Mus musculus: one gene and its partners. The protein of the gene in region 5 binds, or shares a complex with, the protein of the main gene of each other region. Links are inferred from orthologs where the notes say so. Each region holds a gene or a part of one and is shown on either strand. Other genes may lie near its edges. The genes, in order: Med31, Med23, Ccnc, Med12, Med13l, Med24 and Med25.

Region 1 (4,300 bases), on a different chromosome or scaffold from region 5:
TCCGGTCTGAAAATTTGCTAGCATGTAACATTTTATATCTTCTAATATAACTTCAAGTCTATCATTTGGATTCCTAAAGGAATCTATAATTGCATCATGAAGAGCAAATCTACAGGCAGCAAATCAAGTCAGGAAGGTAACGAGGATAAAAAGAAATTTTTGAAATGTTTTACTCTCATTTTTAAAATTAGAGTCTCTGCCGGGCAGTGGTGGCGCACACCTTTAGTCCCAGCACTTGGGAGGCAGAGGTAAGCATATTTCTGAGTTCAAGGCCAGCCTGGTCTACAAAGTGAGTTCCAGGACAGTCAGGGCTACACAGAGAAACCCTGTCTCGAAAAACAAAACAAAACAAAACAAAACAAAAAAGAGTCTCTCTGTGTGGACCTGATTGGCCTGAAATTTGCTACATAACCAGGCTGGCCTCAAACTCATAGAGATCTACCTGACTCTGTTTCTTGAGAGCTGGGATTAAAGGGATGCCAGGCTAAACTTCTGGTTTTTCTGTTGTCTCCTCCTTTGAGAGGCACATCTAGACAGGGCTTACCTGTGTAGAGCTTGCTGCCCTGGAAGTAGCTCTGTAGACTAAGCTGGCCTTGAATTCATGTGCCCACCTCTGCCTCCCAAATGTTGGGATTAAAGGTGTGTGCCAGCTTCTTCTTCTTCTTTTTTTTTTTTTAAGTCAAAGCTATTGAGTTTGATAGTGTCCGTGTTTGTTCTTTTACAGTGAGTTAATGTGTACAATACATTTAGCACAGTGCTCGAAACAAAGAACACTCACTATAAAGAAGGGCAGTACCTCTAAAACTCCCAGAAAACAATACTTCCTACCTTCCTAGATTATAGTTTGGTAGGCATTAAAAATCCAGAAAGACAAGGGCAGTGCTAAGTGACAAGGTTAGACACCAAATTACATTAGAACTATAGTCTGAAACCAGTTGACTGGATCTTAGCTAGCCTGCATGAACAGAAGTGGTGTGTTCTGGCTTATATTACTTAGAGAGTAAGCTGGCTCCCATGAAGACAGTTGTTTGGTTCTGTTTGAAGGGAGTGAGGTAAGAATGGTAGCAGAAATAAATGCAATTCCTAAAATAATCTAAGTTACAGATGACAGTATCTTACATTAACTAAAAGCAGAAAGATTCAAAATATCATTTTCCATTCCCACACAGAGAAAACTGCTCAGTATCAGCACTTTGTATTTATGATAAAGTATACACAGATTTAGGATTATAAAAATTAAACTTACTTTAGATATTTGGCATATTCTGGTTCTTTCCAGTAAAGCAAATACTTAAGATAATTAACAAAAGCTTTGTCTTTGAAGTAACCTCTTTGGGCAAGAACTGAAAGACACAAAGAAACAATCCGTATGTCAACCAACCGCTGGACTACTGATTAGTAATCTCTAAAACAAAGTAGCTCTTAACATCCCTACCAACAGAACACAAGGAATTAAAAACACAAGCCTTTGTTTGCCCAGTTAACTTACAGACCAGAACAAATAAAATCCCATTCAAACACATCGAAGTAATAAATAGTATTACAAACTGCATCTCTTCTCAGAAATTAAGAGCTAGTTGCTTAAGTTAGTGATGTACTTAACTTACAATTAAGGTAGTTTGGGTTGGCTAAACATTGCACAAATTCCAACTCCAACTGAAACCGAAGCCGATTTCCAGCATCATCTAGGAGAAAAGACAAATATCAAAGTGCAGAAGAGACTTTCTTAGAAATTAAAGATATATGTATATGCGTGTGTGTATATATGTGTGTGTGTGTGTGTGTATATATATATATATATATATATATATATATATATATTCACTAAGTAATGAGGCCCTGTTTCCAAAACAAAAATAGTAAAACAAAAAATAGTAAAGAAATCCTTTAAAGTTAATTGAGGAAAAAATAAGTTGAATGGGAATTTACCACCTGCAGGCCACTTTGTTAGCGGAGATCACTGGACAGTCTGTAATAGCTGTGCGGTTCCCTAAGTTGTTATAACCACAACTATCAACTGTGATTACGTTAAGCAAAATCAATGTGCTACACAAAACCGAAGCATGATGCAAAGTGATTAAACAATGGAGAGAAGGCGGTGTCCGCATTAGAATACACAGGTTATCGATATTTCGGGCAAGTTCTTGGGAGTACCTTCAGCACAGACAGTGGAAGGTCTCAGTCCTCTCCCACGGCCCTGCACGGCCCCAAGAGCCAGGGTTGGAGTAGGGGTTTGAGCAACCCAGGAGCAAAGATGTTTTCACAGACCATAGTCTGAGAAGCAGCACAGCCTTCTCCTCCGCCGGTCCCAACTCTAAGGATGCCAAGTTGAACCCGAAAGACAGCGCAGGAAAAGGGAAAAGGGAGGGAATTTCGGGGCGTAGGACCATTCCCTTGGGGTGAAGACTCGGGGTGCAAGTCACAACGTACCTGTCTCCATAGCGACGGCCGCGGCCATAACAATCAGAGTGAGGCGAACACCACCAGCCCCGACCGAACCGCGACTTCGATTGGTGAGAATCCGGAAGCCACGGCTCCTACTTCCGGTCGCGGGGCAGAGTGGGACACGAGGGCGGGGACAACCTCACTTATGGGAAAATTAGCCCCACCTATCTGTGCAGACCCGGCCGGCTGCGCGCGCAGATATCGAGCGGGGCGTGCCGGAGGACTTCTCATTTTTTAGGTCTCAGAGTCCTGCTACCTACCCCGACGTAATACACCACCCTGACGTCACCTTTCCCTGTGTGACGTGACGCAGAGCATGATCCTTGGGCCTCTTTGTCCCACCTGACCAAGGTGTATGGGCAGGATGGCCTCGCCCCTTAGGAGCAAGTCCTCCGCCCCGCGAGTGGAAAGCACCCGCCACAAGGAGACATCGACTGTCCGCGTGGAGACGTCGTCCCACCGCGAGGAAACGTCATCCCACCGCGTGGAGACGTCCTCCCGGCAGGTTCGAACGTCTTCCCGGCAGGTGGAGACCTCCCAGCGCCACCGAGAGGGGCCCTCCCTCACCCCCTCCACGAAGCGACTCCCTCAGTTCCTTGAGGTGTCCTCCCAGCACGTGGAAACCTCCTCGCAGTGCACGGAAACGTCCTCCCGCCACGTCAGGGCGTCGTCATCCCTGAGGGTGGAGACTACTGTGCACCGTGTTGAGAGCCCAGCCAGGCAGAGTGCCAGAATGGCTCGATGAAGTGCCAAAGGTCCTTAGCCAGGACTGAAGAGTTGCCAGCCAGCCATCTTCCAGGAGAACCGAGCATCTTTGGTTTCATGGAAAGAACCCATAAATCAGTGTAAGAAACAGGCTGTGGTTTCTGGGGGCTGTTAACATGTATTGACATTGCAGCACCTTAGACCATCCTGTTGTTGACCCCAGTGTGCTATTAACTTGAAGCCAGCACAGAAGGTTTCAGACTGGTAGTGCAGTATAAACCTGGCTGATGGACAATGAGATTCTTTGAGTCTCTACACCAGGTAAGTTTTATAGTCTTAGGTCACTCTAGGATGTGTTGACGACTTGAAATTTGCAAAGAGGGGCCAAACTTGTCATGATTCTTGACCGCTGGCCTGATCATATACCTGCTTGAAACCTACAGGGCAAGGTATCATCTTTCATACATTATTAATTGGCCTTTATTAATACTTATATTTCATTATACATTTTCTCATGTTGTCATACATAGTATTCCACCCACACTTAAAAAATTAAATCAGGGGGTATAGGAAAAAACAGGACAATTAATAAACAATCAATAAAACCATTAATAATCTTGGAAGGGAAAGTAAAGAAGAAGCCATGACACTTGGCCTGAGGCGTGAGATTGACAGGATGGTAACTGAGTATTACTGCATGCTAGGTAGTAGTTAGAGCATGGCAGCTAGAGCAGTGGAAAAGACTAGGATCTTCCTCTAATGAAGAGACATGCAACAAAGGGGAAAGTAAGACAACATGCTGTTGTATTCCCGCGAAGGAAAGGCTGTCTGTCTTGTGGTAGAGAGTAGGGAACTCTTTAGAGAATATGGTCAGGGAAAGCCTTGCTGATTACATTTGGTCCGAGATTTGTGTGAGTGGACAGTGAGCCATATCAGGATCTAGAGGGAAGTGCATTCTAGACAGAAGGGAAAGTCTACATTTTTTTTAAAAATCAAAGATGTTTATGTAAGAGAAAGATCAGTTAGTATATGAGAGCGTGGTATAAGGAAGAAAACAAAAAGGAGGAAGATGCCACTTCATATAGAGTCTTGGAAATCTTCTGGGATTACAGTAAAGAGCTTGAATTTTATTCTGAGATCATCAAAAGAA
Region 2 (3,500 bases), on a different chromosome or scaffold from region 5:
ATGGTGACTCACAACCATCTGTAATGGGATCCAATGCCTTCTTCTGGTGTGTCTAAAGACAGCTACAGTGTACTCATAAAATAAAATAAATAAATCTTTAAAAAAAAAGAAGAGAGAGAGAGGCAATCTGGCATCGAATACTTGAAAAAACAGGATAGATATTCTTAGATGGCCAATCCTACACTGGATTTAAAACATACCTTATCATATGGCAAAAGGCCTTTCAAAGGAAATCGCAGAGTTGCAGGGTCCAGTTTCCATGAGTTACAGATGGCTCCCGAGTTGTTCACAACTGGCAGAAGACTGCATCGGCCTGCATGCATTACAAAAATATTTCCATGTAAATGTGCTCAAGGCCATGGCAGGTCCTTCATCCTGGGCTACAGTGCCTGGTTACAGTGCCTGGGCTACAGTGCCTGGATTACAATGCCTAGGCTACAGTGCGTGGGCTACAGTGCCTGGGCTACAGTGCCTGGGTTACAGTGCCTGGGCTACAGTGCCTGGGCTACAGTGCCTGGGCTACAGTGCCTGGGCTACAGTGCCTGGGCTACAGTGCCTGGGCTACAGTGCCTGGGCTACAGTGCCTGGGCTACAGTGCCTGGGTTACAGTGCCTGGGCTACAGTGCCTGGGCTACAGTGCCTGGGTTACAGTGCCTGGGCTACAGTGCCTGGGTTACAGTGCCTGGGCTACAGTGCCTGGGCTACAGTGCCTGGGCTACAGTGCCTGGGCTACAGTGCCTGGGCTACAGTGCCTGGGCTACAGTGCCTGGGCTACAGTGCCTGGGCTACAGTGCCTGGGCTACAGTGCCTGGGCTACAGTGCCTGGGTTACAGTGCCTGGGCTACAGTGCCTGGGCTACAGTGCCTGGGCTACAGTGCCTGGGCTACAGTTCATGGGCTACAGTGCCTGGTTACAGTGCCTAGGTTACAGTGCCTGGGTTACAATAGACTGGAGAGTCTCGAATTCTCATTACTATGGCTACAGAAGAACCTAGCTGACATTTCCAGTGGTCCTGAGTTTAGGAAGCATTTTCAGGGGCCAGGAATAGGGTCAGGTGGTAGATTCTTCAGCAGGCACGCAGTCCTGGGTTCTCTCCCCACAACCACATACACTGAGTGTGGCAGCTCATGTTTGCAACCCCTGCACTGAGTTGGACAGAGGAGAATCAAATGTTCGAGTTCACCCTTGCTTACATAATCTCAGGCTAGCCTTGATTTTAAGGACCTTGTCTAAAAAAGCCAAAACCAAAATATAACGATAGGGTGCCCGGCTAACTAAGATATACAAAATAAAATAAAACGTGTTTCTAGTCAGATGAAACCCAACTGTTGGAATGGTCGTATGTGAGAGATGCCCAAGTCTATGAGTGCTGTCTTTGCCTTAATCAAAGCACCTAAAAGTAAACGTCATTATTAGACTCCTAGAGTGTCAAAGTGGCGAGTCACCCTAAGAGGCCGCCCTTCAGCTATGCCCACTAACGATACAGGTACTATGTAATACACTAAGTGTCCTTTAAATGGATCTTACCACAAATGGAGTTAATCCTTGCTGTGGGCCTGAAGGTATCCACAAAGTCTGATACCAAGTTTCCTAGTAACTAAAAGAAAAAGAAAATAAATAAATCAATACACAAACAAGGTTATCCTGCATCTCCGTGCATCATCTATGGAAGTTCAGATACTACACAGAATCAGTACAAAGCCTGGCACAGGCAGTTACTTAGAGACGAGTGCTCTTTCTTTTTCTTCCAAACACTTGTCTCCATGTGTCCCTAAGTTGAGCCAAGTCACACCACTGCATCCTTACCCAGTCAATGAAACTGTAGTTTTTAAGCACATAAGAACTGTCTCAATGGGTTAATAGAGATACAAAACGAATATGTTACGCTAAAAAGAGAATGCATTTCCTGGGTCAGCGCCGTGGTTCAAGAGGGAAAGGTGCTTGGCACCAAGCCTGAAATATCAGTGATCCGGAGCACAGGGAGACAAGAAAACTGACCTCTAACCACATACACGGGGTACACAGACTGCCCCTACCCCAAATAAACATTAAGTAAACTATGTAGAGCCTAAGGATACCTGACCATGTGAAAATGTGCACATGACCTGAGTCTTCCTTTGGAACCCTCCCAGTCTCGAGTTCTCTGTTCACTCTAATACGTAATTACCTTCTCAAAGGGGCTGTGAGATGAAAAGGCTCAGCAGGTGAAATCATTCGCTGTGCAAACCTGCTAACATAATGCTGATTCCCTCCGACACAGGAGAAAACCTGCTAACATAATGCTGAGTCCCTCCGACACAGGAGAAAACCTGCTAACATAATGCTGAGTCCCTCCGACACAGGAGAAAACCAACTTTCAAAGCGTCCCAACTCCACACTCACACTGCGGCATGTGCAGACATACGGTTCGTGTTTGCTTGTTTTATGTAAGGATGACACAGGCTAGAGTCATCTGAGAGGAGGGAGCCCCCGGTGAGAAACTGCCTCCATAGGATTAGATTATAGGTGAGGCTGCAAGTCATTTTCTCAGTGATCACATAACCCACTGTGGGTGAGGCCCTTCCTGGACTGGTGGTCCTGGGTTCTGTAAAATAGCAGGCCAAGCAAACCACGAAAGCAGGTCAGTGAGCAGCACCCTCCACGGCCTCCTTGGCCTCTGCCGAAGCGCCTGCCTCCAGGTTCCTTCCCTGCTTGAGTTCCTATCTTGATTTCCTTTGATAGCACAAAATGATATGGAAGTTTAAGCCAAATAAACCCTTTCCTCCTTAGCTGCTTTGGTCATGGTGTTTATTTCATATCAATATAAACCTAACTAAGATAGGCAGACAGACACAAAGACAGACAGACAGACAGACAGACACACACACAGTATGTGTACATACAAGCAATACAATTATATAACATCTTGATAGGAATTTAAAATTTTAGAAAATGAAAATTTTACCCAGTGTGGAAGTTTTCCCTCAGGATATAGTTTTCTGATCTCTGTGACTGCAAAGTAGGCCGGCAATAGGCAGGCATTTCGTTCTAAGATATAAGCTATAACCTAAAACAAGCAAAAAGCATTATTCTTGACTAGGCTCACACAAACAACCTATAAATACAACGACGGCAACAACAAAAAAGTATATTTACAAATGACTAAATGGGGCTGGGACAATAGCTTAGTTGGCAAAGTGTGCTTGTATCTGTGTGGGAGGGAGCCCTCAACATGCTGATTAAAAAAGACTCACTTCTGGAAATCAGGAGGAATAAATTCAAGGTCTGTTATACATCACGACTGCAGTTAATCAGAATACATTATGAACTTGAAAACGGCTACCAAGATCTTAAATGTATGTAAGGAACTTGTGTCTGAGATCGCAATGCTTGGGAGATGGAGACAGGAGAATCTGGAGCTCAGGCCGATCTTCACCTAAGCTGCAAATTCGTTCAGAGCCAGCTGGGTTACATGATACCCTACCTCAAAAAACAAGACAGAAGACTGAGGTAAACTATGG
Region 3 (4,011 bases), on a different chromosome or scaffold from region 5:
TTGTAAAAAATATTTGTAACTTCCAATACTCCTCTTCTGAGAGAAACTTTAGGTCCTTTTGGCGCTCTTTCAACAGATCTTGTTTATCCAAAATCCACTGCAAACTAGAGAAGGTAAAGATTTAAAACATGGCATAGAAAGGCAACAGCAGGGATGGGAAGGGGAGGAGCTGCTTGAGGTACTGGGAGGAGAGAGGGTTGATATTGGGATGTAAAGTGAATAAATAAATTTATAGGAAAAAAGCCAACAAGCCAAAGCATTTAAAACATTAAGATTCAATAAGCTTACCATCTTCTACGAGGCACACCTCTCTCTGTCTTTATTTGTCTGTTTGGTTCTGGTTAGCTCTGGCTATCCTGGAACTCCTTCCATGGATCAGACCAGCCTCAAGCTCACAGAGATCGGCCCCTCCCCATCACCACCAAGTTCTGTGATTAAAGGCATGCAGTGCTTCACCCAGCTTCTTCTTCCTCCATTTATTTATTTATTTATTTATTTATTTATTTATTTATTTATTTGGAGGTATGTACTTAAAACATTGATAAAAGACAGTGTCTGGCTGGGAATGCAGCTGAGGTAGAGCACCAGTTTACCTCTGAAACTTCAGCATTAACTCTTCAGAATAGGTCTCTAAAATCCTTAGTAAATTATGTTCAACAATGAAATACTTGAGTTCTTCAATACATGCTCACCTGTTTCAAATACATTCAGACCTGGAGCAAATTTTATATTTTTCTAATTTAATCCCCTTTTCAATCAGTGTTTTCACCATCACCCCCAAGTTTCTCAGTCTTGTTGGACCAATAAAATCTCTTTGGTTTTTGTGAGTGCTATTTGTGAGTGGAATATATTTGTGAGTGCTTTGCTGGATATAAATCTGTGTCAATCAGTGTGACTCCCGTACTGTCTGGTCGATTAACAAGGATGCTGTAGACGCCATTTCAAACTCTCAGGTAAGTTATTCATCAGAGTTCTCTAGTTTTTCAGCAGCCCACTGGCAGCCTCAGCAAGATCGTTTGAAGAAAAAAACAAAAAACAGGAAAACTTGAGGGTAAAGAATCTCTTGATGGTTTCAAAGCTTCTCTACCTCTTTCTCAATTTCCTTCATAGTGTCATGTGTACCAAACACCAGCACACAGGTTTTCAGACCCTCTAGACTAAGAACCATCCTGGAAGATAGACTCTTGCTATATCCAAAGACTTACTACTGCCTGTCTTAGTATTATGTCACTGAGACAGGCAATCAAGGCATTATCTGAGCACCAGGATTAAGTACAGGCCCAAGCTTTATCCCACCTTTTTGGGTCATCCCCTTTTGTATTTCATTTTTTTAATGGAAACATCTCAGTGAGTGAGAACAATGTAAAATAATGTCCCCCAGTGATGCTTCATTGGCCTTTCATCTTCCCAGAAACACTTGGTAGCAAGGGAGGACCTGCTTTCAGAAACAGGTTTCCAAATTCAGTTTTCTTTCTTTCTTTTTTTTTCCCCCTTCTTCTTCTTTATTCTCAGGCAAAGAGGGAAACAAGCAAACCAATTCACAGAATTAAAATTTTGTTATTCTCTTCCCACTAAAATTTAATTAAACTAAATGTCTCTATCTAGTCCTGTTCATTTTTTATGTATTTAGTGGAAAGCCTGCTCAACGCTTAGCCCAAGCATACAACTTCCTGCATGTTTAACCAAATGTATTTAGAGACAAATATCTTTAAGATTACTTTAGCCCTTCCATGGTCACTGAAAGACATTAAAATTTAGTGATTTAAGTGGTTAAAGGAAGAGGACAAAATCTGGGAAATACACGACTTTAAGGCAAAATATAAGACACTGGCTAATGAATGAAAATGGATATATTTTGAGAGCCCCTGTGCTCGCAAATTCTAGAAGCATTAAAGTCAATTTAGGAGCCTGCAATTGGTGGCTCATGCCTTTAATTCCAACACTTAGAAGCAGAAGCAGAGGCAGGCAGATTTCATTAAGTTCGATGCCAGCCTGTGAGTTTTAGGGCAGCCATCCCTCAACGTGAGAAACACTGCTTCGGGGATGGGGGTAGTGGTGTCAATCTAGGCATAAGGCTGGGCCAGGAAGCAGCAGGTAGAAACAAGCACGACTCACTCCTCTCCTCTGAGTAAATATTAAATCTACAGTAAGGCGAATGACAAGAGATTATAATATCACTGCTATGAAAAAACAAACAAACAAACAAGCTAGCTAGCAATAGCCAACCATGTCCATCCAAAGCAGGGAACCTCACAGAGCTACAATGGGTCACTCTTTCCCTTGCCGGTGCCCACATCATCCCACCAATCAAACCCCAAATTTGAAATGAAACCGCCTCCGACTCCCTTCCCGGAGATCAAACCCCTTACCTCTTACCCATCCTTCGAGCTCACCTCCCCTCTGCTCCCGAAATCTCTCTGTGAGAAGAGGGGAGGCTCGCAAACGACAGCATCACGTTTCGGACCCCCGGCTTCCCAGGGAGGGCTCACCCGCAGCGGCCAGGATGGAAACCCCGAGGGATGGGCAGGCCCAGCCCTCCTGTGCCCCAGCCCCGGCCCCAGGCGAGAAAATGGAAGCTCACTTACTAGTGGGAGCTCTGCCAGAAGTTCCCTGCCATGGAATAATACTGCTTGCCCTGATACAAATGCACCAGCCAGCAAAGCGGCCCGCGGAGCGACCATAGACACAGTCCGGACGACTGTGCTCCTACCAGACTGGCTGGGCTGAACTCCACAGCCACCGCAGCCGGAGGAAGAGAACAGCACCCTCGTCGCCTTGACGCCGGTCGACAACACTGAGCGGCGTACACCGGTTCCGGCAGACAAAAGTTCCGGCCCGCCCTAGTTGCGGAGGAAGCTAGCAACCGCCCGACCGCCAATGGGCTTGTTGAGGCGGGAGCTAAGGAAACACGGGCGGAGGCTCCCGGTGGCGAGAGGCTCTCCCCGAGGTTTCCTGCCAATTCTCCTCCAGAGCGTCCACACACTGGGTTTCTGGTCTAGTGCGGTTTTCTTTTGGGTCCATTTAGGGATCTTGTTAATCCACGGTGTAGGCCTTCAGAAATAGCACACTGGCGTTGAAGAAAGCATGGCAGTATATGACTGCTTTTTCCCTAGGGCTGAAAGGAGAAATAAATGAAAGTAATTTTGGCCTTAAGATGTAAGTGCTCTTAGTAAAGTTCCTGTCGGTATTAAGCCTAACGAGTTAAGTGTAGACTTAACTTAGAGTAGCAATCTTTTTATGTCAGAGCCGGCTACTTGTTTACCTAAAAACATGAGCATATAAATGTACATCTAGCTAACACTTACGTTCCAAATGGGTATGCCGCAGAAATGCAATTAAATAATATTTAAATGTTGCTGTTATCATTGCAACTTTGCGTTCGCGTTTCGTACTGTACTTCGGCGGCAGAGTCAAGAACATGAGGAGTTTCAGGCCAGTCCTTGCTTCATGCTGAGACGCCATCTAGGGGAAAAGAGGAAAAGGGATGTAGATAATCAAGGATGTAAAATGCTTGCTGGTGCCCCAGAAGCTCTGGGTGATACTCAGCACTATATACACCTGCAAGCTAAGGGTATTCAATACCCTCAGATACGTTGTTTTGGGCCAGCCTAGGACAGGTGAGGATCTATCTAAATCTTTTAAGTTTTAATTTAAATTAAAAAATGTCTCTAAATGATTGGGCACACCTGAAAATTAGTCAAGAATTCCGAGGAAGATAGCACCAATGTTTTTCCTTTGTGAGTGGAGTCTAATTGAGATGTGGAATGGAGTGAAAACAATTTCTATAAGTGAAACTAGTATGCCAACTATAGAAAAGATGTTTTTAAATTCCACCCACTTAGGCACGTACACAATTAACCTGTGAAATACATTTATTCTTGAATTTGGATGAGCTAGACTAGGCTTCATTGTTATAACATTGTTATACCCCCAACTTAGCTTGAAAATTCGTCTCATTCTCATGGTATTTCCTAAAGCTGGCTAGTTCTTCCTGGCTGCCCTCTAGATCTT
Region 4 (3,500 bases), on a different chromosome or scaffold from region 5:
GGACTGGCGCATGGTCCATTGGTCTAAATTCTGGTGGCAAAAACCAAACAATCATCATTGTGTCAACCTTACTATCTATTTTATGACTAACTCATACTCCCCCAAAACAGATTGCTAGAAGCTGGAATGGACCTCTATGCCCCTCTCATTAGGAAAGACTACATTTAAATAATCCCAAATCACTGAAAGCAACTGTAGTTTACTATGGTTAAAAAATGATTTCATACCCCTCTAGATCCTTGTCCCAGAGCCCCACAAAGTTCTGCTCAATGCCTAACCTTTAAATCCTTAATGTTAAGGTTGAAACCTGACTACGCTGTTTTCCATCAGCTTCTCAAAAGTCCCCCACAGAGCCTTTTTACAGGACACTCTTTTGAAGTCCTGTAGAGACTGGAAAGCTACTGTTAGGTAATCTCCCCTTGGTATTATTTCCTCCAGGCTAAAGAGAACACATTCCTTTAGGACTTCCTCCATGGCCTTGTTTTCCCACTCCAGTCAGTCAAATGTCTGAGGCAGGCAACAAGGCAAAGTGAAAGGGTACAGGCACAGCTGAGTCCACATAGTTACTCAAACCTTACTAGCTCCTCCTGTGACCTCAGACAAGCCAATTAAGCTCTTGAGCCTCAGTTTCCTCACTGGTCAAACAAGGATATTCCTATTCACTTCACAAGGTCATAAAGATCAAATGAAAAGGACTGAGGGCACGGTGCTGTGCATACAGTACCTGTGCATGAGACACTTGCCACTATAATACTGAGTCACAACCAAAGTGCCATATATACAAAGCAGAATCCAGGCCACTCAGAGGCAATTCGTCCCACAGATGAGCTATGCTCACCCCAGACAGTTGTGCACTCACCTAACAGCCTAACTTCTGAGTCTAGACCAGACCACCAGATCTGCTCCTAAGCCCATGCTGGAGCTGCTTTTCTTGCACCCATTCTCCTACATGCTTGTTCATCTTCCTACTGAGGAATGGTTCCCACTATTTCCAGGTAAGGTCTGTCCTGCTGCCCCCTAGCACCCCAGCTCCTTTAGCCTACCTTGAGAATACGTTTAATGCGCTGCCGCTGGGGGTTTTCTCCATCCTCATTGTCCAGCAGTCGATGTGGGTAGCAGATAAGTTGCATGAGGCGCTGGGCCTGGGCACTACTCAACACTGGGTCTTGTAGATCATTGCTATCCTCACACAGTGACTTAAGGCAACGTTCTCCTACCCATTCCTAAGGAGGCTGATAATTAGAGGACAGCAGGCAACCCTGGGAAGTTGTGCCAGGGGCAGGTAAAGGACCCAATGTATAGCAGGGAGGTAGTGTGGTCATGGGCTAGAAACAGGGCTAGATTACATAGAAGCATTTATAGGTGGTATGGGGGGGAAGGTGAGACTGACCTGTTGGCAGATGCTTCGCAGCACGTACTTGGCATAGACATCCAGACTTGCTGTCTCCACAGAGATGTTGCGGCCACCCTGTCTCCGACCGCTACTACCACCTCCTCCCTCCTCTTCTGGAAGTTCTTCTGTTCCTCCCGGCACAGTAAAGCCTGAACCTTTTAGCTCCGCATCTCCTGCGGTTCATGGGTGGGAGATAGAGAGTGCACAGTGAGATCAGAACAGTGTATGGAGACCTGCCCTGGCCCACAGGGGCAGAAATTCCCCAAACGCTGCCCTGTGAAACAGAAATATACTTCTCTCCACCCCCTTTCTCCAAAGGTCAGAGAGACCACCTTTGGGATAGAGAAAGACTGTCCCTGTAGTTCAGCTGGCACTCCACCCTATATACACTTCTGGCATGTCTCTCTCCCTACCCCATTGCATACCGAGTACAAACACAGCCTTGAGAACAGCAAACACAGCCCCATCCACGATGCGGTTCTGGGAGGCAGCCAGCAGGTGGCGGTCACAGGAGGACCGGATTCCAACAGTAGGTTTGTCTGCAAGGAAGTCCAAGTTAGGGGAAACAGGAGTAAAAGCAGTGGGTTGGGAGAGCCTGTTTCTATAACTGCCTGGCTCCAATCAAAGTCACTCACTTCCATCAGACTGGCAAGGATTGAGTTGTGGCGTCTTGAACAGGTGGAGGAGGATTCGGCAAGTAAGCCTGGCTCCTGGCTCAGAATCCTGCTCACTACAAGCTAACAAAAATAAATGAATGAATGAATGAATGAATGAGAATAAAGACAGAGCAGATCTGAAAAAGAACAAAATGGAATACTGTGCATGTGTATGTGTGTGTTGGGAGGAGGAATAAACTGAAATATAAGTGAGGTGAAAGGGGAAGAAACAATATAATCCTGAAGGAGAAGTGGAGCGCAAAAACGTTATACAGCGGAAAGGTCAAAACTAAAAGGTTTTTCCATAGGCTGGGCTGGATGAAGCTCATGCTCAAACATGAGGGAGGTACTGGGTTCAACTGTGGGGGGGGGGTGTGTGAGGGGGTTGCATCAGTGCTGCATCAAAAGAAGCCTTTCCATCCTTCCAGCCTGGGGTGCAACAAAGCACTGGCCTGGGAACTGCAGCAGGGGGGTTCATAATCACAGGCTGGCTAGGGAGCATGCACGAGCATACATGGTACAGTTCTGACATTCTAGAGGTTACCGACTGGCACTTTACCAGCATTGAGGAGTGAAGGGATGGCTGCACAGCGAATCAGGTCTTCTAGGAGCAAACATTGACGGGCGATGAGGATAGCAACAAAAGTAGCCAAGGAATCATGAAAAGACAAATCACTGACCTAAGGAAAACAGATGAACGCCCACTGTGAGTCAGTATGGGGAAAGAGACATAGTCAGTGTGCCATGCCTCCACTCTACTCAACTCTGACCCTCTACGGTCTTGATTGTAGCCAGATTTCTAGCAAATAGGTAAGTGCCTCATCTTCCAGCAAGACCCCACCCAAAGGCTTACGTCTACGTTGCACAGGAGATCATTGAAACCACAAGTGCCATTGTTCGAGGAGCAGCACAAGGCCTTAAGTACTCCTAGCCACTCAGCACTCAAGGACTTGCAATAGCCGGTCAGCTCTGCACAAAGGATGGCGATGTCATTTACCCTAGGGAAAAGTACAAAAGCCCTCAGGAAGACTCGTCCCACAATACCTCAGACACCTAACTTCCGATCTCTGCCCCAATAACAAGGGAAGGGAGAGTATCTCTGGTCAGCCAGCCCTCCCAGTATCAGGTAAAGCATGATACTCATTCCTTAACTCAGGACAGCCCATACCTATCAGGATCATGGTGGCCCACGCAGACGTGCATAAGAGCATTGCACACAAAGCTATAGCGGTTAGCAGGGTTCTCACTAAGACTCTTGCCGAGCCCCGTGTAGGTGAAAGTGTGAGCGGCAGGGTTCTCCAGAGTGTCAATCATGAACTCCGGTGCCCAGCGCATATTGGATTCCGATGGCTCCACGTTACAGTAGATGGTGTTCTTCACTTTTGAGCAAAAGTCACTGCAGAGGTGGGGAAAGGAAACAGCAATACTGAAGGAGGCCTGGTGGGGTACAG
Region 5 (4,075 bases):
AGGATGCCTCTCCTTTGAAATCAACTATTCTATACAATGTTCTTTACGCAATGTATTCTCAATAAGTAAGATAGGTTGCTGCTGTGTGTATGCTCTTCAGAAAAAAATTCTCAATTAAGAATCCGAATAAAGGACTGTTGGCAGTTTATTCTTGGTTTTGGTTTTCCGTGGGTCTCTTTTATTTGGCTTGGTTTTCTAAGAAAGTTTAGGGCTGGAGAGATGGCTCAGGGGTTAAGAGTACTGACTGATCCTCCAGAGAATCTGGGTTCAATTCCCAGCACCTTCGTGGCAGCTCACAATGGTCTCTAATTCCAATCCCAAAGAACCCAGCACCCTCACACAAGCAGGCAAAACAGCGATGCATATAAAATAAAGATAAATTTCTTAAACAACTAGACAGCATTTACCTACCTCGAGGTATCAGGAAATACGTTACATTTTAAAACTAATCTAAGCCATTTCTGCATTTCAATGGAGTTACCCAAAAAAGTTAATTGTACTTTATATTCAAGTCAACTTTTTGGTTTAAGCGGAGAAATACCCAGAATGCAGTCAAAATCAAAGTCCAGAAATTAAAGAAAGAATCCGGACCATCTCATCTCTACCCCATAGATCCCTGAAGCTGAGAGTGGAGCTGTGCAGTCAGCAGGCATGCATTTGCCTGCACAACACACTGTGTATACATTAGCCACATGCACACAGGCAGCACTGCTCTCAGCCTGATGCACAGCAAGTGGGAGCTCTCCCCAGCTAACACCAGCTGACTTGGTTATTTTAATTACCTATAAAAGTGTCATTGCGGTCACCCAGTCACCAAATTGGTTGGGGGGGGGGGTAAATACCGCCTAGTCAATACATTTGCTGATCTATGAAGGTCCCTGAACCTAATAATAAATGACAGACAAGGGAAGGGGGGGGTGAAAAAAGAGACAGAAGTAGTTTTATCCTCACATCAAAAGATCAACGGTAAATTACCACAGGGGTAAAAGGAAGGACCCCCAACTTCTAACTGAACCTCGAAACAGCCTCAGGATAAAATTCGGGGTGATCAGGAATCAGCCTGCTTACAAGAGTGGGAGCAGGGGGACTGTGTCACTCCTGTGTCTTTGTAGGCCAAAATCATGCTTGATTTCTTCATCAGCATGAAAACAGAATGACACTTCCAAAGTTGGCAACAATTCCTCTTTCTCCACTAGTCTCCAAGGGGAGAAAAAGCATCTATGCCACCCATAATTAAATGTAACTAATTACAATTTGAACACTAAATTATTTATCCAGTGTAAACAAGGACTAAAAGGAAATAAAGCTTCTATCTGCAGCAGGGGTTCCAGAAAATAATTTGCAATAAATGCATGCTCTCCAAAAGTCAGCACCCTCCCCCCCAGCACCCTCCCCACCAAAATTGGGCACACAACTAAAATAAGTTGAGTTTTTAAGGCTAAATTAAATAGGCCGTTCAACCAATTTTCCAATTATATTCTACGCTTGAAACATAATTGCCTTACATCTGTTTACAAATCTTTGCTCAATATTTAAACAAATTCGTACTCTCCCGGGCACATAGCTACACACACACAGTAACTCAGGCACAAAGCGCGTATTTAAAGACCATGCACTCCCATTATCAGCGTAAGCGCCGGGTTTAACAACGCGAATGTTTTCAGAGCTAGGTAATACGACCCAATAAAAAGCAAAGATGGCATTTACCACCAAATGTCACTGCCACCGCCAGGAAAGAGTTGCTGGAGCTCTATACATTTTTAATTTCGACGAATCGAGCCGCCGTCGCCCGGTGCCAGGCTTCCAGAAGAACAATTGACACCCTAAATGGTTCGAGATTAAGGCAGGCGATGCACTTCCAAAGCAAAAGTTGTCAATTATCAGAGGCGAGAGCGGGAGAGAGGAGAGGCGAAGGCAGATAAAAGCGATGTTATCAAACCGCCCAGCTTGTTGCTCGTGTGTGTGTGTGTGTGTGTGTGTGTGTGTTCCTTGTTAAAGCAGAGAAAACAGTTTTTAAAGGCAGCGGAGGAGAGCGAGGAGCAGCAGCTTCCTCCACCTTCCGTGGGCTCCGAGCAATGGCTCTCCCGCTCTCCGGCGTAGTAAACCCCGAGAGGCGGGCGGCTGTCCGTGTTTACAACGGCGCGAGCGAGCTCCGGCTGCCAGAGTCCTTTTCCCTGACACCATCGCCTTCCATCAACTGTTTTCGGGCGAAATCGCAGGTGTCATTGTGGAAATATTAAAAGGAAAAAAAAGGGAAAAAAACGGAGAAACAGAGGAAGAGAGAAAGAAAAAATCAGAAGGCAGACGCCGGCGAGTGGGAGAGCAGCCGATCCGATCGGGAGAGAGAGAGAGAGAGAGGACGAGCCTGCAGCTCACCCGCGCCGGCGGCTGCACAAGGCAGAAAAGCCTTCCACATTTCGGGGAAGGAGGAGAAAAAAGAAAAAAAAAGAAAATAAGGGGGGAAGGGGAGGGGAGGGGGTGTGATTGCCACGGAGGTGGGCGCTCCGAGCGCGCCCCGGCGTCCGCAGCGCCCCGACTTCCCCACGCACGTCCACGCCGGGCGCCGCGCTCGCCGACGCCGCCAGGGCTCCGGGAGGAGAAAGTTGCGCGGCGGGGAGGTCGCGCCCCCCAACCCGGGCTCCCCCCCGCCCCGCCACTCACCAGCGAGAAGAGGTTGGAGTGACAATCCTCCAGGCTCGCCCCGTTCGCTACCCAGTTCGCCGCGGCGGTCATGGTCCTCCGCGAGCCCGGCCGCCAGAGCGGGGCATGTCGGAGCGGGCCGGGCCGGGCGGCGGCGGCGGCGGCTCCCGGGCACCAGGGGCGCGAGGCCCGCGCGGGAGGCCCGAGGGCGGCGGTGGCGACGACGGCGACGACGGCGGCGGCGGGGGGCGCGGGCCGGCAACGCCGCCCGCCTCTGTCGCGCAGGGCCGCCGCCTCCGCCTCCGCCTCGCCGCCTCGTCGGCCGCCTTGTTTATCTCCAAGCCGGCGGGCGACTCGCCCTCGGCCGCGCCGGCGCGGGAGGCACGCGAGCCCCGCAGCCGCCCCGAGCCGCCGCCGCCGCCGCCGCCGCTGCGCGAGCCCGCGAAGGGGGGGGTGCGGACGAAGCCAGCGGGCGACCCCGGCAGCCGAGCGCCGTCCCCTCCTTCCTCTTCCTCCCCACCCCCCCCCTCCTCCCCAGTCGGCCGCGCTTCTCCTCCCTCCCCGGGCTCGCTCGCTCTGACAGCAATGGCGGCCGCCGACCGCGGCTCGGCCCGCCATTGGCTGCGGCGCGTCACGTGACGGGCGCCGGCCGCGCGGGGGGCGGGGGAGGGGCCGCGGCGGCGGCGGCGGCGGCGGCGGTGGTGGCTCGCGGGAGGCGCTGCTGAGCCGAGCGAGCGCGGCCCTCTCGGAGCGGGGTGACGGAGCCAGGGAGGGAAGAGAAAGAGGTGCGGGCGGCCGTGGGACGCCGGGGCTGCGTGGACGCCCCGCCCTGGGCGCGGGCGCGCGTCGGGCGCGGGCCGAAGAGGGCCGCGGCTTCCCCGGAGCGGCCTCCGAGCCCCCCTGGGGGAGCATCTCGGGTCCCCGAGGAGCGGCGTGGGCCGGCCCGGCCTGGCCGAGCGAGCCGAGGAGTGTCTCCTCCTCGAAACCTCGCGCGCGACCGCCCGCCGGCCTGCCTGCCGCAGCGCACCGGGCGGAGGAGTAGGACTCAAAGAGACACAAAGGCAGCGAGCGAGGTGCTTGCCCGGGGTCGCGGGATTCGAACCCAGGCATCGGGAAGCCAGGGCTCGGGACTCACTGCCTCCCGAGCGCTGAGCTCCTAAAGCATCCCGGCTGCTGGAGCCCTTGGCGCCCACTCTGTGCGTGCACGCAGGCATTCCTTACATAGATGATCCCAGCGCTCTTAGGTGCCACATTCACACTGGGCTATGTGGAGGGGAGCAGGCCCTTCCTCCAGCTCCAAGCGGTCAATAATAACCAGCATCCCTTCTTCAGAGAGTAATGGGACTGGGAGAAGTGCTGATGCCGGAGACTGCCTTCCAGGACTTTTCGTCGTGGAAATAGAGAAAGGGAGAAAGTTGACTTGGAAAGAGGTAGA
Region 6 (3,500 bases), on a different chromosome or scaffold from region 5:
GAGCTCACGCCTTTAATCCCAGCACTTGGGAGGCAGAGGCAGGTGGATCTCTGAGTTTGAGGCCACCCTGGTCTACAAAGTGAGTTCTAGGACAGCCAAGGCTACACAGAGAAACACTGTCTCAGAAAAAAAAAAAAGAGCTATTCCTCTTAAGTACCAGCCTACTCCCTCTTAGCCCAAGTGGCCACCCACCCTGCTTGGCCACGCCTACCTGCATGCGCTTCACCATCATCAGCTGCTCCACCAGGGGCTGCATCTCCCCGGTCAGGTTCATGGTGCCCTCAAGCAAGATGAGTGCGTGGATGGTGGGGAAGCCGGTCTTGTGCAGTTGCTCGGAGTGCACGGACAGCATGCTGGGGATGCTGAAGAGAGACACCATTGGGGACGTGTTGGGAACTGAGGAGACAGCGGGACACACACACACACACACACACACACACACACACACACACAGACCATGGAGCCCATCTTCCCATCTCCGGCAGAAACCTAACCTCCTGATGAGTGTGCCGCAACGCTCAGCTTGGCTCCGGAGCTGGGGGTTGCTGAGATTGGCCAGGATCTCCCCAAGTTTTAGAAGAGAATGCTCTATGGCAGTCCAGGAGGCTGGTGGAGAAAAAGCAAGGCAGAAACTGCTGGGAAGGAGAGGCAGGGCGTGGTCCACACTCCCCGACCGTGGCGCTCCCTGGACCGTGAAAGCATCCAGCAAGGAACCTCTGAGGACGAGGAGGCAGAGTCCTGAGGGTAGGGTAAGGGGAGTAGGCACCGGGAACAAAGACCCCCCTAGCAACCATACCAAGGGCCTGACTTCCAGTGACTACACACAACTGACTCGAGACACACAAGCAATGGGAGCAAGGCACAGGGGTGGGTACAGCATCCAGTGGCCAAGCGGGGACAGTCACTTCTACTCTAGCTCCAAATACCTTGCCAACACAGCTTTTGAGTTTCTGCTCTTTGAATAGCTTACCCAGCTGGTGGAGCCCACTGGACACTCTCTTAAATGGCCGCACTCACGGTCTACAGCACATACTTAGTATTTAATTACTAGTCACTTATCCTAGTTACAAGCCCAAAGGGTCAAATGATGAATGACGGCACCAGTTAGCCAATTAACCTCCATGTAGCACAGGGACAAGAGAAAGACAACTGAGACCTGAGATCCATCAAAATGAAGTATTCATCTACTTTTCTACCAATAAACATTTATCAAGTGCCCAGGAAGGCAAGGCACTGCCAACACTAACAAGAAAGCAGATGAAGAAAAGCTGTCCGAGCAGCCCATTCTGACACAGTGATCGGTCTCTTTCTGGACTTTTCCCAGAGAGACTAATCCCCTAACAACCTCTCCCACTGAGCCCTGAAGACATGGGTGTCACCTATTTTAGCATTCCTGTCAATGGAGAACCCTTAGGTGGCCCTAGCTGCTGGGGCTCAGGACTCATGAAGACTTCCCTCCTATAAATCTGTAAGGTGCCAATGCTTAACAGAACTTGAGTTAAGAGAGAACAGCATCCAGTCATGGCTGACAGGCACTGAGTTTAACTGAAGTTCCGGGTCACACCTGAGTCATCTGCTTCTAGGCGAGCAACATGAAGACAGACAAGAGCAGACGACGTGCCTGTCTTGTCCTCCAATTTCTCCAGGCGCATGGCATTCCAATCTTACTCCCCACCAGTGTGTAAGCTTGCTGAGGGCAGGGACCCTGCCACATGCTCCTTTGGAAGCCCCCATCCCCCCCTCCAGCACCTGGCACAGTGCTGGACACACGAGAAGGCTCAGTAAATACCTGTTGGTTGATTGGCTCGGGTGCCACCCTGCCCAAGTCCCTGGGATGTATGCAATGCTTATGGGGAGAGAAAAAAGGAAGTGGGATGATTTCGGATCCTTCTAGAAAGAAGTGGGATGGCATCCTGCCTCTCCCCTCTCAATCAAAGGACCAGCTACAGAAGCAGCAGCAGGCAGGGTGTGGGGGAGTCAGGGGACATACAGGCCTCCTCTAGTTTGGCGATGTGTAGCAGGGCTCGGTTCTTGGTGCTGCTGAGGGTCTTCTCCAGGCACTGCAAGCACAAGGCAAGCTGCTTCTCCCCGGGGGCCGGAGTGCCAGCCTCCAGCCCTTCCTGGAGTCGCTCCGCAGAAGCTGCTGTACATCGAAGCAGCCAGTGGAGGGCGCTAAGGAGCGCTCGGCACAACCCGATGCATTCCTCTGCTTTGCCGTGGCAACTACCCAAAAAGGATGAAAATTTGTATCTATTCCAAAAGCTGAAATCCAACCCACACCAATGTTCCCCCAGAGTCTCTGGCACAACACTACTAGGGGACAGAGTTGGAAAGTTGGCAGAATCCTAGGTAAGACACCTAGTCTAGCCAGCTTCCACTAGACGAGATCTTAGAGTAGCTCTTCCAAATAGAGAAGAGGCACTTTGTCTTAAGGAAACAGAAGCTGGAGGTGGGAAGGCAGGCAGACAGAAGCAGCCTGGGACCCAGAGCTGGTCTCAGTCCGTCCCCTAGACTCTGGGCTTTCCTCGGCACTGAAAGGATGATGCAATGCTCTGAGCTTCCACATCCATCTCTCACCTGAGTCGGTCACAGAACATGTCCATGATATCCAGCAGAGCCTGGACACACAGGTCCCGGGAAAAGTCATCAAACTGCAGAAAGAACAGCGAGCAATGGAGGGGGCTCAGCACTACCTCTCACAAGCTCTGCTACCTCTCCTCCCCAAGCCCTGGGCCACAGACTTGCCACATGGAAATGTGTTCCTAATTTCCAGGACCTCCTTCCTGGGCGGGGGGCATCAGGTGTTGCCTATCCAGCCTCAGGGGACACATGACCTGAGTGGCCAGGCTGGTAGCCTTATTTGCCCCCTCCCACAGCTCCTGAGAGCCACAGTCATACCTTACTGATGGCGGTGAGCACAGAGGAGCAGGACACCATCTAGAAAGAAGGAAGACACAGGACGTTGAGACAAGTCATCTACTTGGGAGGGGCAAGCACTGATGCTTAAACTGCCACAGCGTGAGGTCCCCAACCCCTTCCCTTCAAGAGGTTTCCTCAGCTCATTAAAAGGCCCACAGTAACATGTGCTGTCCTTATCGCTGCTTCCATCAGACTCAGTGCAAGTGGCATGCGTATAAGCCGAATGAGAGGGTTTCGAGTACCCAAAGGCATCCTGCCTTGTCTTTATGCTGTTCCTTTCCAAAACTAAATGAAGTTCAACTGGCCACTAGTGGGCAAAAGAATCACCCAGAATGACGGTCTTGTCTTGTATGGGGTCAGGGAGTCCTGGGGATGAAGCTCAGCCCCACGCCTGCTAGGCAAGGGTGGAGACGTGACTCTGCTGGACTGAAGATGCACTTCGGTGGTCAGTGCCGGCCTAGCATGTGTCCTAATTTCAACCTGAAGCACAGAGGCGGGTGTGTGCATGTGAACTATTTGAGCCTCTACACTAATCAGGCCCATTGCTCCTTTTATCAAGATTAACTGTGCCGGGCGGTGGT
Region 7 (4,081 bases), on a different chromosome or scaffold from region 5:
CAGAGGTAGGGGCAGGCAGATCTCTGAGTTCTGGGAGGCTCCACAAATTTACAGAGCAAGTTCCAGGACAGCCAAGGCTAACACAGAGAAAGCCTGCCTTGGGAGTGGAGGGTGGGGAAGAGATACCAAAAACCAAGGTCTGGGGCAATGTCTCAGTTGCTAACCTGCTTGCAAATGCAAGCAAGTGAGCCAAGTTTGGATGCCTGCCACCTACGTTTTGAAAAATCGCTTGTCTTTTTTTCTTTCTTTTTCTTTTTTTCTTATTTTGTTTTTCGAGACAGGGTTTCTCTGTGCAGCCCTGTCTGTCCTGGAACTCACTCTGTAGACTGATACTGCAACTCAGTCCCACTTGCATCTGCTCTGCACTGGAATTTAAGGCGTGCGCCATCGCGGCTTTGTATCTTTCTACATTAGTACGCTTTATTTAGTAAATTTCTGTCCACACATAAGTTTCCAGGTCATTTTATATTCACTTCGGCTTATGCTGTTAGCTACAATGCTGAGACTCAGTTTTCTCGACTATACCAGACATTACTATTGCACTGTTTATATATATATAGTATTATTATTTTCTTCTTTCTTTTTTTTCTTTTCTTTTTTTCTTTTCTTTCTTTCTCTTTTCTTTTTTTCTTTTTTAATAAGGAATGTATTTTCTTTGATTCTGTTTCTGGCTTCTTTCCCAGAAAACAGAGATTAGGTGTTGCCTAGCAACCTCCACTTAAATTGGAATTCCCTTCTTTCCCAGCAAAAACAACTGCTTCGCTTCCAAGTCCCGGGCAACTTTACAGTGTTGCCTAGCAACGTCGTTTCCAATGATGTGATTGGACCGCTCTCTTTCATCGGTTCCCGGTCAGAAAGAACAGAATTTATTAACTTAATCTCTGTGTGAGACCACAACGGATGGGTACGCGTTGCCTAGCAACCGGATTCCCGACCCTCCCTTTAGCCCGGAGTCGGAAACTAGATTTCGACTCCAAGATGGTGACCGGATGTGCCGTTTTTCGATTTATTTCGTGCTTGATGTTGTGCGCAAAAGTTTGCTCGATTTCAAGAGGCCCTTAAAGGGGCTCGTTGTGCCCATTCTGAGAGTTTCGTGTTGTTGGTATGCCCCAGGGTAGAGATAAAACCACGGCTCGCAAAATGCCCCGCACAAACATGGCCGTATCAGCATCAGCAGAAGCTGCCAGACGTCCGGCGGGGCTGCGCACACCGCGCAAGCGCACTTCTGTTCGTCCCGGGACGGCGACGGCGTCAGCGGCGCTGGCGTCGGCGGCGCGGGGCATGGTCCCCGGATCCGAAGGCCCGGCGCGGGCCGGGGGCCTGGTCGCCGATGTGGTGTTTGTGATCGAGGGGACAGCAAACCTGGGGCCGTACTTCGAGGAGCTCCGCAAGCACTACCTGCTGCCTGCCATAGAGTGAGTGAGCGAGACCTCTCGTCGCCTCCCGCCGCCCTAGCTAACCTAAAGCTCGTGCCGACCCCGCCTTTCCTCCGTCTTTGCAGGTACTTCAACGGGGGACCCCCTGCAGAGACGGACTTTGGGGGAGACGTGAGTGCGCGGCCGAGTCACGGGATGGAAGCCGGTAGACCCCTGTGTCTGAGGGAGGAAAGATGGGGTCCTTAGTCTTGGGTTTGAGAGAAGAAGGGCTCACAGCTTATTTCTAAAATGATCTGAAGTTGGGATGGCCTGTTCCTTGCCAAAGATCTCAGTTGTAAAGTTGTTCTGTCCTTTCTTCCCAGTATGGTGGAACCCAGTACAGCCTTGTGGTGTTCAACACCGTGGACTGCGCTCCAGAGTCCTATGTACAATGTCACGCACCTACCAGCAGTGCCTATGAGTTTGTCACCTGGCTCGATGGCATCAAGTGAGCTTTGCCTCCATTTGGGGCAGGATGGGTACCCCCAAGAAAGACTGTGGGCAGGGTGGCCTGTGATTGAATAGTGCCCCGCACTCAGCAGAACTCAGTGTGGGTCACCACAGTCCCTGTCTGAGTGTCCAGTTACCGTCAGCTTCTTCTTTCTTCCTCTTGTCTGTCTACTCCAGAGGAGTCTGCAGGATGGGTCTGGGCCCTGAGAGCTCCTTACGTGGTTGGGTCACAGTTTACAGTGTAGCCTTTTTTGTTTTTTTTTGTTTTTTTTCGAGACAGGGTTTCTCTGTGTAGCCCTGGCTGTCCTGGAACTCACTCTGTAGACCAGGCTGGCCTCGAACTCAGAAATCCACCTGCCTCTGCCTCCCAAGTGCTGGGATCAGAGGCATGGGCCACCACACCTGGCACAGTGTAGCCTTGAATTGCTGATCTGACTGCTTCTACTTTCTGGTTGCTGGGATTACAGACACCTGCCACCATGACCAGCTTGTAGAGCCAGGCAGCCTAGAGTCATGGCTTCTTCCCAGATAACTCTTTGACTGTCGGGTCCCAGGGTCCTTTGTGCTGCTCGTTTCGTATTTGTTCTCAGTGCTCTTGACTGTCTGTTGCTGTATAACGTTTCCCCACTCCCACCCCACTTTTAAGGATTTCAGAATGCACAGTTGCTCCTCATGAAGCCATCTGTATGTCAGGAACTCAGGAGGATAAGCCAGGCCGTGTGTGTTTGGTCAGGTCTCACAGGGCTGTGTTCATCCACTCTCTGGCATGCCTGAAAGAGCCACGGCCATGAGGCCGTGATGGCTATGATGGCTGTTCTGCGGCTGTGGACAGAGCCTTAGTTCCTTGCTGGCTCTTTGCCATCATGCCCTGGCATATAGCAGAGTGATGCCCAGATTGGCAGCTGGCTCTGCTCAGAGTGAATGAGTGAATCCAGGGGGCAAAGAGGAAGCCACCAGGCTTTTTTGATGACCAAGTGACAGTCCATCACTTTTGTCACCACTTGTTTGGTAGGTGAGTCTATCCTGGTCCAGATAAGAATGGGTGACCAGTGGGATCCCTGGGGACAGACCACCAGAGCCATGTAGGGTGCTGCCGCCCAGCACACAGTAAGCAGTGCGTGAGTGCCCAAAGTTACTGCTTGCCCTGTTCCTGGTCTTGGTTTGCAAATGAATAACAGTGTAGACTGGTGGGCATTGGAAGGGTTGAAGGGGCGCTGGGGCTAACCTCGCCATGTGGATTCCACAGGTGTGTTGTGGTCAAGGTTCATATAGCGGTGCTGATCTAGATCCTGTTTTGATGAAGCAGGTGTGTGTTGAATGTCTGCTTGTCTGCTGTGTTCCAGGTGTGTGTGTGTGTGTGTGTGTGTGTGTGTGTGACATGGTAGGTGGCATGGAAAGCTGACCTGTGCACTGCCCCACCCCCTCCCGGAAGTTGTTAGGATTAGAGTTAATGTAAAGCCAGCCTTCCCATCCTTGACATTGTTGACACTTTGCACTCACGGTTTTTTTTTTTTTTTTTTTTTTGGTTTTTCGAGACAGGGTTTCTCTGTATAGCCCTGGTTGTCCTGGAACTCACTTTGTAGACCAGGCTGGCCTCGAACTCAGAGATCCACCTGCCTCTGCCTCCTGAGTGCTGGGATTAAAGGCGTGCGCTACCACGCCCGGCTTGCACTCACGTTTTTAAAACAGATTTTTTTTTTTTTTAATTTAATGTGTACGAGGTTCTGTATATGCAACACTTGTGCCTGGTGCTCTTTGAGACCAAAAGAGGCCATCAGATCCTCTGGAATTGGAGTTACACAGTGCCATGGAGGTGTTGGGACTGCAGCCTGGATCCCCTGGAAGAGCAGCCAGTGCTCTGAACACTGATTCATTTCTAGGCCCTTAGTCTGGTTTAAACACCACACAGTCCTTTCCATCCTCCTGCCTCAGCCTCACCCATGTTAGGTTTGCTTGTTTGAGCTGCTATACCTAGCTTGGATTATATAAATCTTTTATTTTATTTTTTTAACCCACTCATCTCTCTGTCCCCTCATATCCACCCACAACACTTGCAACCTCCCTTCCAAAATAAAAAAACAAAACAAAACAAAACAGTGTTGATGATTTGTCTGCATGTATGTCTGTGTGAGGGTGCCGGACACTGTAACTGTCCGTAACGGACAGTTCTGAGCTGCCAGCTGCTCTGGAATCCGAGCAGCCAGTGCTCCTAACCA

The links.
Region 1: Med13l (region 5) and Med31 share a complex: the UniProt entries of both Homo sapiens proteins name them as parts of the mediator complex. The link is inferred for Mus musculus from reciprocal best matches to the Homo sapiens genes MED13L and MED31.
Region 2: Med13l (region 5) and Med23 share a complex: the UniProt entries of both Homo sapiens proteins name them as parts of the mediator complex. The link is inferred for Mus musculus from reciprocal best matches to the Homo sapiens genes MED13L and MED23.
Region 3: Med13l (region 5) and Ccnc share a complex: the UniProt entries of both Homo sapiens proteins name them as parts of the mediator complex. The link is inferred for Mus musculus from reciprocal best matches to the Homo sapiens genes MED13L and CCNC.
Region 4: Med13l (region 5) and Med12 share a complex: the UniProt entries of both Homo sapiens proteins name them as parts of the mediator complex. The link is inferred for Mus musculus from reciprocal best matches to the Homo sapiens genes MED13L and MED12.
Region 6: Med13l (region 5) and Med24 share a complex: the UniProt entries of both Homo sapiens proteins name them as parts of the mediator complex. The link is inferred for Mus musculus from reciprocal best matches to the Homo sapiens genes MED13L and MED24.
Region 7: Med13l (region 5) and Med25 share a complex: the UniProt entries of both Homo sapiens proteins name them as parts of the mediator complex. The link is inferred for Mus musculus from reciprocal best matches to the Homo sapiens genes MED13L and MED25.

What each region holds. Positions count from the first base shown.
Region 1 is NC_000077.6:72,212,531-72,216,830, forward strand, and holds the start of Med31 (mediator of RNA polymerase II transcription subunit 31), read right to left. Parts: upstream 2,801-4,300; 5' UTR 2,459-2,800; coding exon 2,431-2,458; intron 1,686-2,430; coding exon 1,608-1,685; intron 1,344-1,607; coding exon 1,247-1,343; intron 1-1,246. Other genes in the region: 4930563E22Rik (uncharacterized protein C17orf100 homolog), read left to right, coding at 2,801-3,190. UniProt on the Homo sapiens protein: Component of the Mediator complex, a coactivator involved in the regulated transcription of nearly all RNA polymerase II-dependent genes.
Region 2 is NC_000076.6:24,876,486-24,879,985, reverse strand, and holds part of Med23 (mediator of RNA polymerase II transcription subunit 23), read right to left. Parts: intron 3,047-3,500; coding exon 2,945-3,046; intron 1,598-2,944; coding exon 1,528-1,597; intron 314-1,527; coding exon 201-313; intron 1-200. UniProt on the Homo sapiens protein: Required for transcriptional activation subsequent to the assembly of the pre-initiation complex. Component of the Mediator complex, a coactivator involved in the regulated transcription of nearly all RNA polymerase II-dependent genes.
Region 3 is NC_000070.6:21,726,490-21,730,500, reverse strand, and holds the start of Ccnc (cyclin-C), read right to left. Parts: upstream 2,801-4,011; 5' UTR 2,618-2,800; coding exon 2,586-2,617; intron 105-2,585; coding exon 1-104. UniProt on the Homo sapiens protein: Component of the Mediator complex, a coactivator involved in regulated gene transcription of nearly all RNA polymerase II-dependent genes.
Region 4 is NC_000086.7:101,284,091-101,287,590, reverse strand, and holds part of Med12 (mediator of RNA polymerase II transcription subunit 12), read right to left. Parts: intron 3,446-3,500; coding exon 3,218-3,445; intron 3,048-3,217; coding exon 2,903-3,047; intron 2,730-2,902; coding exon 2,609-2,729; intron 2,131-2,608; coding exon 2,029-2,130; intron 1,933-2,028; coding exon 1,819-1,932; intron 1,567-1,818; coding exon 1,391-1,566; intron 1,224-1,390; coding exon 1,044-1,223; intron 31-1,043; coding exon 1-30. UniProt on the Homo sapiens protein: Component of the Mediator complex, a coactivator involved in the regulated transcription of nearly all RNA polymerase II-dependent genes.
Region 5 is NC_000071.6:118,559,444-118,563,518, reverse strand, and holds the start of Med13l (mediator of RNA polymerase II transcription subunit 13-like), read right to left. Parts: upstream 2,801-4,075; 5' UTR 2,734-2,800; coding exon 2,662-2,733; intron 2,658-2,661; exon of another isoform or gene 1,708-2,657; intron 1-1,707. UniProt on the Homo sapiens protein: Component of the Mediator complex, a coactivator involved in the regulated transcription of nearly all RNA polymerase II-dependent genes.
Region 6 is NC_000077.6:98,715,920-98,719,419, forward strand, and holds part of Med24 (mediator of RNA polymerase II transcription subunit 24), read right to left. Parts: intron 3,365-3,500; exon of another isoform or gene 3,352-3,364; intron 2,938-3,351; coding exon 2,899-2,937; intron 2,652-2,898; coding exon 2,578-2,651; intron 2,224-2,577; coding exon 1,991-2,223; intron 1,847-1,990; coding exon of another isoform or gene 1,790-1,846; intron 607-1,789; coding exon 495-606; intron 363-494; coding exon 212-362; intron 1-211. UniProt on the Homo sapiens protein: Component of the Mediator complex, a coactivator involved in the regulated transcription of nearly all RNA polymerase II-dependent genes.
Region 7 is NC_000073.6:44,889,565-44,893,645, reverse strand, and holds the start of Med25 (mediator of RNA polymerase II transcription subunit 25), read left to right. Parts: upstream 1-1,281; coding exon 1,282-1,415; exon of another isoform or gene 1,416-1,501; coding exon 1,502-1,547; exon of another isoform or gene 1,548-1,581; intron 1,582-1,738; coding exon 1,739-1,863; intron 1,864-4,081. UniProt on the Homo sapiens protein: Component of the Mediator complex, a coactivator involved in the regulated transcription of nearly all RNA polymerase II-dependent genes.